Mus musculus: one gene and its partner. The protein of the gene in region 1 purifies or fractionates together with the protein of each later gene. This does not show direct contact. Links are inferred from orthologs where the notes say so. Each region holds a gene or a part of one and is shown in the gene's direction. Other genes may lie near its edges. The genes, in order: Rpl7l1 and Rexo4.

Region 1 (4,238 bases):
TCCCCACTAGGACTATTGTTTTTATTTTTTATTTTGCTCTTCTTTCTCTGTCACATAGACAAGTGGCTCACCCAATATGGGACATATATATATATTTTATTATTATTATTATTATTATTATTATTATTATTATTATTATTATTATTATATGTAAGTACACTGTAGCTGTCTTCAGACACTCCAGAAGAGGGCGTCAGATCTTGTTACAGATGGTTGTGAGCCACCATGTGGTTGCTGGGATTTGAACTCTGGACCTTCGGAAGAACAGTCGGGTGCTTTTACCCACTGAGCCATCTCACCAGCCCCGGACAGAGATTTTTGAGGAAACTTAAAAACAAGCATGGTTCTAGCGCAATCCATGGAATAGTTTAGAATACCTGGTATGCCTGGTGCAGGAGGCCGGAAGAGGTCGTGCCCTTAATCTCCTTTGACATTCATCTGGTAATGACATTAGCGTGTTGAGTGGACTAGTTTTTTAGTGTGTTCCAACATCATGTATCAGTCCTTGGGTACTCAACAATTCCTTGCAGAGTCCCACTGTAGTGAAGTGGTGTAGTGAGGTGCAGAAGAGACACAGAAAATAAGAAAAGTCTCCTGCCCATAAGCCAAAGGTGTAGGATAAAGGCTGTGGGTGGCGACCCTTTCTAGTGTTATATAGTGGCGTTGTCCTAGGCTAGAGCATAAAACAGCACTGTGCTAGCATAAAACAGCACTGTGCTAGTATGTGGCAATGGGAGTAAATTCTGAGAAACTTAAACAAGTGAAGGCTCTGAGATGGAAATGGAGCATTTCTAGTTTCTGGCTCCACTGTTTACCCAACTTGTGCTAAGGCTTTGTAAATCTTAAGGAGCCCCCTGGCGGCCACTGGGAACCCGTAGATATTCATTGTACGGATGAGGAAGCCGAGATGCAGAAAGGTGAGGAATTCAAAGGCTCACAGAGTAGGTGACACATTTTTATTTCCGCAAATCCTCCACAAATAACCGCCCACCAAATGTGAGTGCCACGTCGGTCCTTCAAGTCTCCGGGAATAAAAACCTCACCTAAGCAAGGCGGCCAACTTCTGTAGAGCCCGTGCCGTAGCGGAAGCTGCAGATGCATTGTGGAAAGCCTTTAAATTGTTCACAAGCGGCCGAGTTCGAGACCCTACAGCCTAACTGAAAAGGGTTGGATCCAGACGGGTGTCAGACTCTAGAGACCTTAGAAGGGATGGGAAGAAAACTGGAGGGTTTTTTGCCGGAATCCTGGCTAGCAAGACCTTTTCCCAGACGCTCACATTCGCTAAGGAATCTCAGGCTGCCTGAGTCCTCCTGCGGGAGCGAGAGTCCGTCTCTATGATACAAGAGACGTCGAGGCGGGCCTCTCTACCCCGCCCGGTGAGGCTGCGCAAGCGCAGTAGCTGAAGCACCGGAAAGATGGCGGAGGAAGGGTGAGTGTGTCTTCGGATCTCTCTATGGGGCTTTGAGGATCCGATGCCATCCTTTCTGTTTGTACTCTGGTGATACAAAAGGAAGCTGTGGGCTGTGGAGAGAAAAGAAAAAGGCTCCATAGTATGAAGTCAAGGTGGGGGCTGAGATGCTGTAGGGCTCCGCGACCAGGGATCGGGACGACTTTGGAAGCAGCGAGAAGAGGAACTGAGGTTCGGAGGGGCGAGTGGCTGCGTAGCGCCAGAGTTGAGTTCGCTCAGCTTGGCTGTCATGTCTTTCACAGTTTGGTACACACGTACAGTGTATTTTGATCGTATCACCTCCCCATCATCTCTTATTCCCCTGCGTCTTCCACCAAGCTCTTTCCCCCCAATTCCCCCTCCTGCTTTCATGTGCCCCCCCCCCCCACCTCATCCTAGCTCGACTTAATCATTACTCTTCTTGATGGATCTGTGATAGCCCCTTTCTGGATTTTACTAGAATTTCCTTGCCGCTAGTGACAGGTCATAGCCTACAGTTGTTAAAGCTCCACGGACCAAAACGAACCCAGAGAGCAAAGGTTTTTCCTGATTTTTAAAGGCTCTCGGGACGAGTGAGCATTACAGGAGCACGGCGAAGACTCATCAGAAACTTTAGGTCCCGGGAAGACCAGGATCTCGAATTGGTTTGGAAAGCCACCAAATGTTGGTTTGGCAATTTTCATTAATGTCAAATTTGTTCCTTTATCAGGGAAAGAAAAAAAATTCCTTTGGTTCCAGAAAATCTTCTGAAAAAGAGGAAGGCTTATCAAGCCCTCAAAGCCACTCAGGCAAAGCAGGCACTTTTGGCAAAGAGAGAGGTAATTCTGAGAGGGGGGGGGTTAGGATTTGTAGTGGACGGATTTTACTAAACGGTGTTCGTTGAACTAGATTTGTTATCAGATCCCTCACAGGTTTCTCCCTCATAGTCCTCCATTTAGCAAAGATTTACCCACCATCTTTCTGTGAGCAAAATGTTAGACCAGCCTTTAAGGGAAAAGTGAAGACATTTTCTGAATTCAAATTTAGTGGTAAAACCAAATTTGGCAGGGAAAAAAATAGATTATTTTAAAAATGTTTTGTTGGGGTTGGTTTGTTTCTTAGATGGGGTCTGTACATATGGTCTGGAATACTGTATGACCAGGCTGGCCTCAAACTAACAGATCAGCCTACTTAGGCCTCTAGAATGCTGCGATTAAATTGCTATCTGTGGCACACTTTTCAGCATTCTAGAAGGTTGAGACAGGAAAATGGAGAGTTTGGCTATATAAAGAGAACCTGTCTCAAACCAAAAGTATCCAACAATTTTAAAAGTTTATTTAGAATCACGTGTGGGCTGGAGAGATGGCTCAGCCCTTAAGAGCACTGACTGCTCTTCGGAAGGTCCTGAGTTCAAATCCCAGCAACCACATGGTAGCTCACAACCACCTATAATGAGATCTGACTCCCTCTTCAGGTGTGTGTAAAGACAGCTGCAGTGTACTTACATATAATAATAAATAAATCTTTGGGGGGAGGGTATAGGGAACTTTCGGGATAGTATTTGAAATGTAAATAAAGAAAATATCTAATTAAAAAAAAATTCCTGGTCATGGTGGCTCACCTTTAATCCCAGCACTCGGGAGGCAAAGGCAGGCGGATTTCTGAGTTCGAGGTCAGCCTGGTCTACAAAGTGAGTTCCAGGTCAGCCAGGGCTACACAGAGAAACCCTGTCTCGAAAAACCAATGTGTAGATTCTGCACACAGTATGTACAGGATTTTTGAACGCAAAGAGAAGAAAATCCTCTTGTTTAATGATGCCTAATATAGTGTTGAGTTTCCTAAACACCTGTATTAAATGTTACCAGCATATGAGCTCACCACAAACTTTTCTTCAGCCCTTAAGAGCACTGACTGCTCTTACATCTCTCAGTTCCATCTGGCCTCTTCATGTGCCCCTTAGGTAATGGTCTGCCCACTTTGCAGAACGTTTGAGAGCTGAGCTCTCTTACTAATGGTCCTGGGTTAACTGTGGAGGGGAAGAGATGCTGATGCGTGTCTTCTCTGCCACAGAGAAAAGGAAAGCAATTCAGGTTCAGACGACTAGAATCTTTCGTGCATGATTCCTGGCGACAGCAACGTGACAAGGTGCGTGTCCAGCGGCTGGAGGTGAAGCCTCGTGCTTTGGAGGTGCCTGATAAACATCCCTTGGCCTTCGTTATACGCATGGAAAGGTACAGTACCAGTGTGTTTTCAGAGTCCTTGGTTCAACTTCAGATGGCTCTGTAGGGAGACAAAGCCTAACCTACTACAGAAGATTGGCTAGGATTCGGAATTAGGACCATGGGTGACATAAGGACACTCAGGGTGAAGGTGGGGCTCTTTTTTTTTTTTTTTTTTTTTAGATTTATTTTATGTATATGAGTACACTGTAGCTGTCTTCAGACACACCAGAAGAGGGCATTAGATCCCATTACAGATGGTTGTGAGCCACCATGTGGGTGCTAGGAATTGAACTCAGGACCTCTGGAAGAGCAGCCAGTACTCTTAAGCACAGGGCCATCTCTCCAGCCCCCTAGTGATACCCTTTCTAAAGTAGTAACCACAACTTGACAAAAGACATGAAAGTAGGCCCGGCATTGTGCCACGTGCCGTTAAACCCAGCAATGAAGCACAGAGTAAAGGTTAGGATTGCTCATGGCCATGTGTCCTGTGACGGTTTAAAGACACAGGGCACCGTGCTAGAAGCATTGTCCACACTTAGCAGGCTTCATTGCCCTCAGCCGTGTGCCTTTTGGTAGAAAACCTCTGAGTT
Region 2 (4,447 bases), on another chromosome or scaffold:
CCATTGCTAAGATAGAGAGACCATCAAGTGAGCTTGAAGGCTCGATTTAAAGCGCACTGGATTTCTGGGGTAGATGGGCTTTATCTTATTCTATCTCTAGGCATTCCAGAACCATTATCTGAGTGAGTGCTGTTGTGATCATAAAAAGAGAAAGAGCTACTAAGATCTGTTCTGGCAGGGTGTGGGGGAAGGGTGTGCCTCAGTGGGCCCATGCCTCAGCATCCCTTCCCCCTGAGAGAGCAGCCACATGACGGTATAGTATAGAATAGAGTTTATTCGGGGCATGGGGAGGGGAGTTAAGAGGGTAGTAGAGACAAAGGCAGAGAGGGGAGGGGGAGGGGGAGGGGGAGGGGGAGGGGGAGGGGGAGGAGAGGATTGGAGGCTGGCCATGAGCATATGGAGAGAGGGGGTAAGGGAATGGGGAAAGGGGGGAACAAGGGGCCAAGAGGCAAAAGCGTGAGAGAGAAAGAGAGAGGGATGAGGGGGCAAGCAGCCCCTTTTATAGGGTCAGTCCTACCTAGCTGCTACCAGGTAACTGTGTGGAGGAGCATATCTGGCTGTTGCCAGGTTTCGGTGGGGGTGGAGTCCAGACAGAATACCAACAGGTGCGAAGGCTAGAGCCTGGATTTTTTTTTTTTTTTTCTACTAGTAATCGAGTTGCTTGGACTTGCCCATACCTTAGGCCTAGTCTCTTTAACTGCCAATTTGAAGTGTGTTGCGGAATCTGCCTAGCCTTCTCTGTGCTCAGAACTTGGTCTTGGGGGGTGCCGGGGAGGGGGTGTCCTGATTGGATATTTTTCCTAACAGCCACCACCAAGTCTCCCAAACCTTCTTACGTGGTCTGTTGGCTTTGCTGCTTATCTCTAGTCAGAGAAACCCGAGGGCAAACGATTCAACTGTGACCGCCCCATCTGTATTGCACTATCAGGATCAAGAATAGATTGCTGGTCATTAACACTGCGATTAAGAATGTATATGTATACGTATATAGTCACAATTAAATTTTGCTTTATCATTAATATCGGACACTGCTGGCGTGCCTTTGCAGTCAGTAAACCAGAGACGTGGGGAAGGCTTCGGTATTCGCAGTGTGTGGTTGTGCATAGGGCAACCTACACAAGACCCGCCTCCGCCTCTTCCGTACCCCCGTGAGTGCCACACCGAGAGTAGTCCCCCAGCCTTTTCCGGTGTCCCAGAGTCTCCTCATTTGCGGCCTTCCGGGACACCAGATCTTTGTGAAGGTCTGGGCTCCCTTCCGTCAAACTCTGGGTATCCAACCGCAGCGCTGCTAGCCAGGGCTGTCAGCCCCCAGTGCTAACTAGCGGGCTAGTCGCAGAGTCCGCATACGTGCGGAACCAAAGATGCAGTCTCGGTTTCTAGCAGGTCGCGAAGAGAACAGCAACCCGGGTTCCCGCATGCGCAGTGGAGCACGCTTGCACCCTGGGAAATGTGTGCTTGCGCGGTTGCTGGAGTCGCGGTCTCTTCCCTGGTGGTTCCGACTGCGGAGAGCGGGGAGATGAAGACGAAGGCCACCGCGCCGGTGCCCCAACCTGGGCCTATCAGGAAGCTCGCTAGGAAGAAAGCCAAGAAGAAGTTCAGGAAGAGCAAAGCTCTGGCAGGAAGTGGGGTTCCGGGAAGCCACCCGGCGGCTGTGGCAGGCCGACCGCCGAAGGCCCCCGAGAACTTTTCTCAAAATTGGAAGGCGTTGCAAGAGGTGAGACCGGCGACAGGCCACCTTCATCCCGAACTTTCTGTCAGGTAGCCACAGACTCCGAAGGAGGAAGGGATGTTGCCCTCTGCTTCATTCAAATTCTTTTTCTCAATTATGAATCACTTATCTAGGTTGCCACCCTGGCAACGTCTTAAACTATGTCCCAGAACTCTGGCCCAGTGGTTCTGGAACTATTGTAGCTCAGGGTATACCCACACTAGTGGTTGTCCTCCTACATTAGGTAGCCTCCCTAGTCCTGAGCCTCTATACCTACCCCCATTCATAAATTCTTCCATACTAGTTAGATGCTTTTTTTTGTTGTTTTTGTTTTTTCGAGACAGGGTTTCTCTGTGTAGCCCTGGCCGTCCTGGAACTCACTCTGTAGACCAGGCTGGCCTCGAACTCAGAAATCTGCCTGCCTCTGCCTCCCGAGTGCTGGGATTAAAGGCGTGCGCCACCACGCCCAGCTTAGTTAGATGCTTTTACTGCCCTTGTTTCTTAGACGGGGAAATTGTGACACATAACTTACAGGGTTTGAGTTGAAAGTAGGTCACATACGGTGTAAACAGCAGAACTGGGGTGCTGAATATGCCTTCACTGTCGACTTCTAGGGAGTCTTGAGGAGTGTATGTCATGGAGCCTCAGTAAGAAAGACAATAAGGAATTTCTTGGCCTCCATAACAACACTCCACCTTGTTCCTTAGTGTGGATCTTCCAACAGGACACCCAGGAGCAGCCAAACCCTGTGGACAGTCAGGGCTGTGTATGCTGGTTCTTGTTCTTTCTCCCAAGAAAGTAAAGTGTGCAGGGAGGACATGTTTACTAAAGGAAACTTGGATTTGGCTCTGGTTTCTACAAGAATCTAAATCCTTCAGGCCTTTTAAGTATTAGGGGAGTGAATAAGTAGAAACTCACTGCAACATCTCTCAGCTGGTTGCCATCTTGTTGTGGTCTTAACTGGAGATTTGAACACAAGGAAGAAATTGGTCTCCTGGACCTCTCCTCTACATGGATCAGCCCTATCTGGTTTCACAGGACTTCTTTCTTTCCATTGAACTCCCTTCCTCCAGGTCTTCCTTAGATTCTGAGCTGTAGCCGCCTCCAGAGATAACGGAAGTGATCACTGTGTCCCACAGTGTTGACCATGGAAGTCACTAAGTGAAACTCCAAATAAAGAAGTGAAAAGCACCATTAGTGGTGATGGGAAGTGCATGGATGATAGAATAGATGTACACACAAGTTTCTTGAACCTGTGGTATGTCAGTTCAAAATTAAATGTGGCTTTTAACAAAATAATAAATGTGGCTTATATTTAATTTTGATTCCATTAGCTACTGAAACAAAAGTCACAGGCCGCAGAAAAACCTCTTGTCTCTCAGATGGATGACAAAATGCACCCCCAAATAATCCAGCAGAACAGAAAAAAGGCCTCAGATAAATCAAAGGGAGACAAGCAGAGGACAGAAAAGGCCAAGAGCACTAGGGGTTCTGTTACATCTGCACCTACGGACAGGAAGATACTAGTACCTCCCACAGATACCTCTGGAACAGAGCAGAAGAAAGGAGCCAAGAAGAGGACATATAGTGACATCTCTTCTCATCAAGGGGCTCTCAAGCCTAAGTGGAAAGCTACGGAGGCAGCTGTTATCTTGAATCAGCCCACGCCCACTGAGTAAGTATCAACTCTGCTGTGGTGCCTGGAACATCCACAGAAACAGGTGATCCACTGTCTTCACCACCACCGTTCGGCCCTGGTACAGTCTTCTACCCAACCCTGTGATATTTGTTTGTTCGTCCCTTGTTTCTCCTAGAGTGTGGGCTGCTAAAGGCAGACCCTATTATACAGATAATACTGTGTCTTTGGGCCCCAGTGTAGAGCTTGGCACAAGGTAAGAGCCAACAAAAACTTTTTCATAGTGTGTGCTGGACCCAGAAGGACTCCTGTGAAACCCAGTCCTGCCTTTTTGCCAATTGATGGCTTTCTTGCATCCTTTTATCCTCAGTGTGGTCATCTGTACAGTTAGGGGGACTGAAGTGCACTATGTGTTGCTTAGTGTCTTTTGCCTGCTTAATGAGCACTGTGATAACACCTAGCCTGGATGGGATATGCTTATAAGGCAGGTTGGCTTCCTGCTGCCTAGGATTTTCCTGCCTTCCCTTAAACCTAAAGAAAACCTTGGTCTGGGATTATACAGTGGAGGGTGCGGGCAAAGGGGAAGGAGAACATTTCTTTGGGAACTGGTATGGGAAGTGTGTTTATGAGAGTTGTGTCAGATCAAGCTAAGTGAGCCCATGACAGGCTACAAGATTCAGCTGCTGAAGGGTAAAGGGACGTGAGTTTAACTGCTTCTGCTGAGTTATATAAGCAGGCTGGATTGGAGAGACTACAAGGCCCCTCCCTCCTAAGGCTGATATAAGCAGGAAAGACACACAGGCATTTTACTTTAGCATTTGTGTGTGTGGCAGGAGGTGTCAGGGTATCCTAGTGAAGAAAGCAAATGAGCAGGAAGCATGCGGCCCATCAGTTGAACCTTTTGAGTAAAGATACTGAATGTCTGGAATTCACCAGATAGCCATGAAGCACCCAGTATCAACTCTCTCATGCTTCCAAAGTGTGCACAGGGTACAAGGCACAGGTCCCTGTCTTTTTTTAAATTTTTAAATTTTTTTTGGTTTTCGAGACAGGGTTTCTCTGTGTAGCCTTGGCTGTCCTGGAACTCACTTTGTAGACCAGGC

What was found.
Region 2: the proteins of Rpl7l1 (region 1) and Rexo4 purify together in Homo sapiens (affinity purification with mass spectrometry; 3 studies listed by BioGRID and IntAct, with this or other methods). This does not show direct contact. The link is inferred for Mus musculus from reciprocal best matches to the Homo sapiens genes RPL7L1 and REXO4.

The regions. Positions count from the first base shown.
Region 1 is NC_000083.6:46,779,810-46,784,047, reverse strand, and holds the start of Rpl7l1 (60S ribosomal protein L7-like 1), read left to right. Parts: upstream 1-1,391; 5' UTR 1,392-1,415; coding exon 1,416-1,429; intron 1,430-2,156; coding exon 2,157-2,265; intron 2,266-3,496; coding exon 3,497-3,657; intron 3,658-4,238.
Region 2 is NC_000068.7:26,961,319-26,965,765, reverse strand, and holds the start of Rexo4 (RNA exonuclease 4), read left to right. Parts: upstream 1-1,379; 5' UTR 1,380-1,447; coding exon 1,448-1,714; intron 1,715-3,042; coding exon 3,043-3,383; intron 3,384-4,447.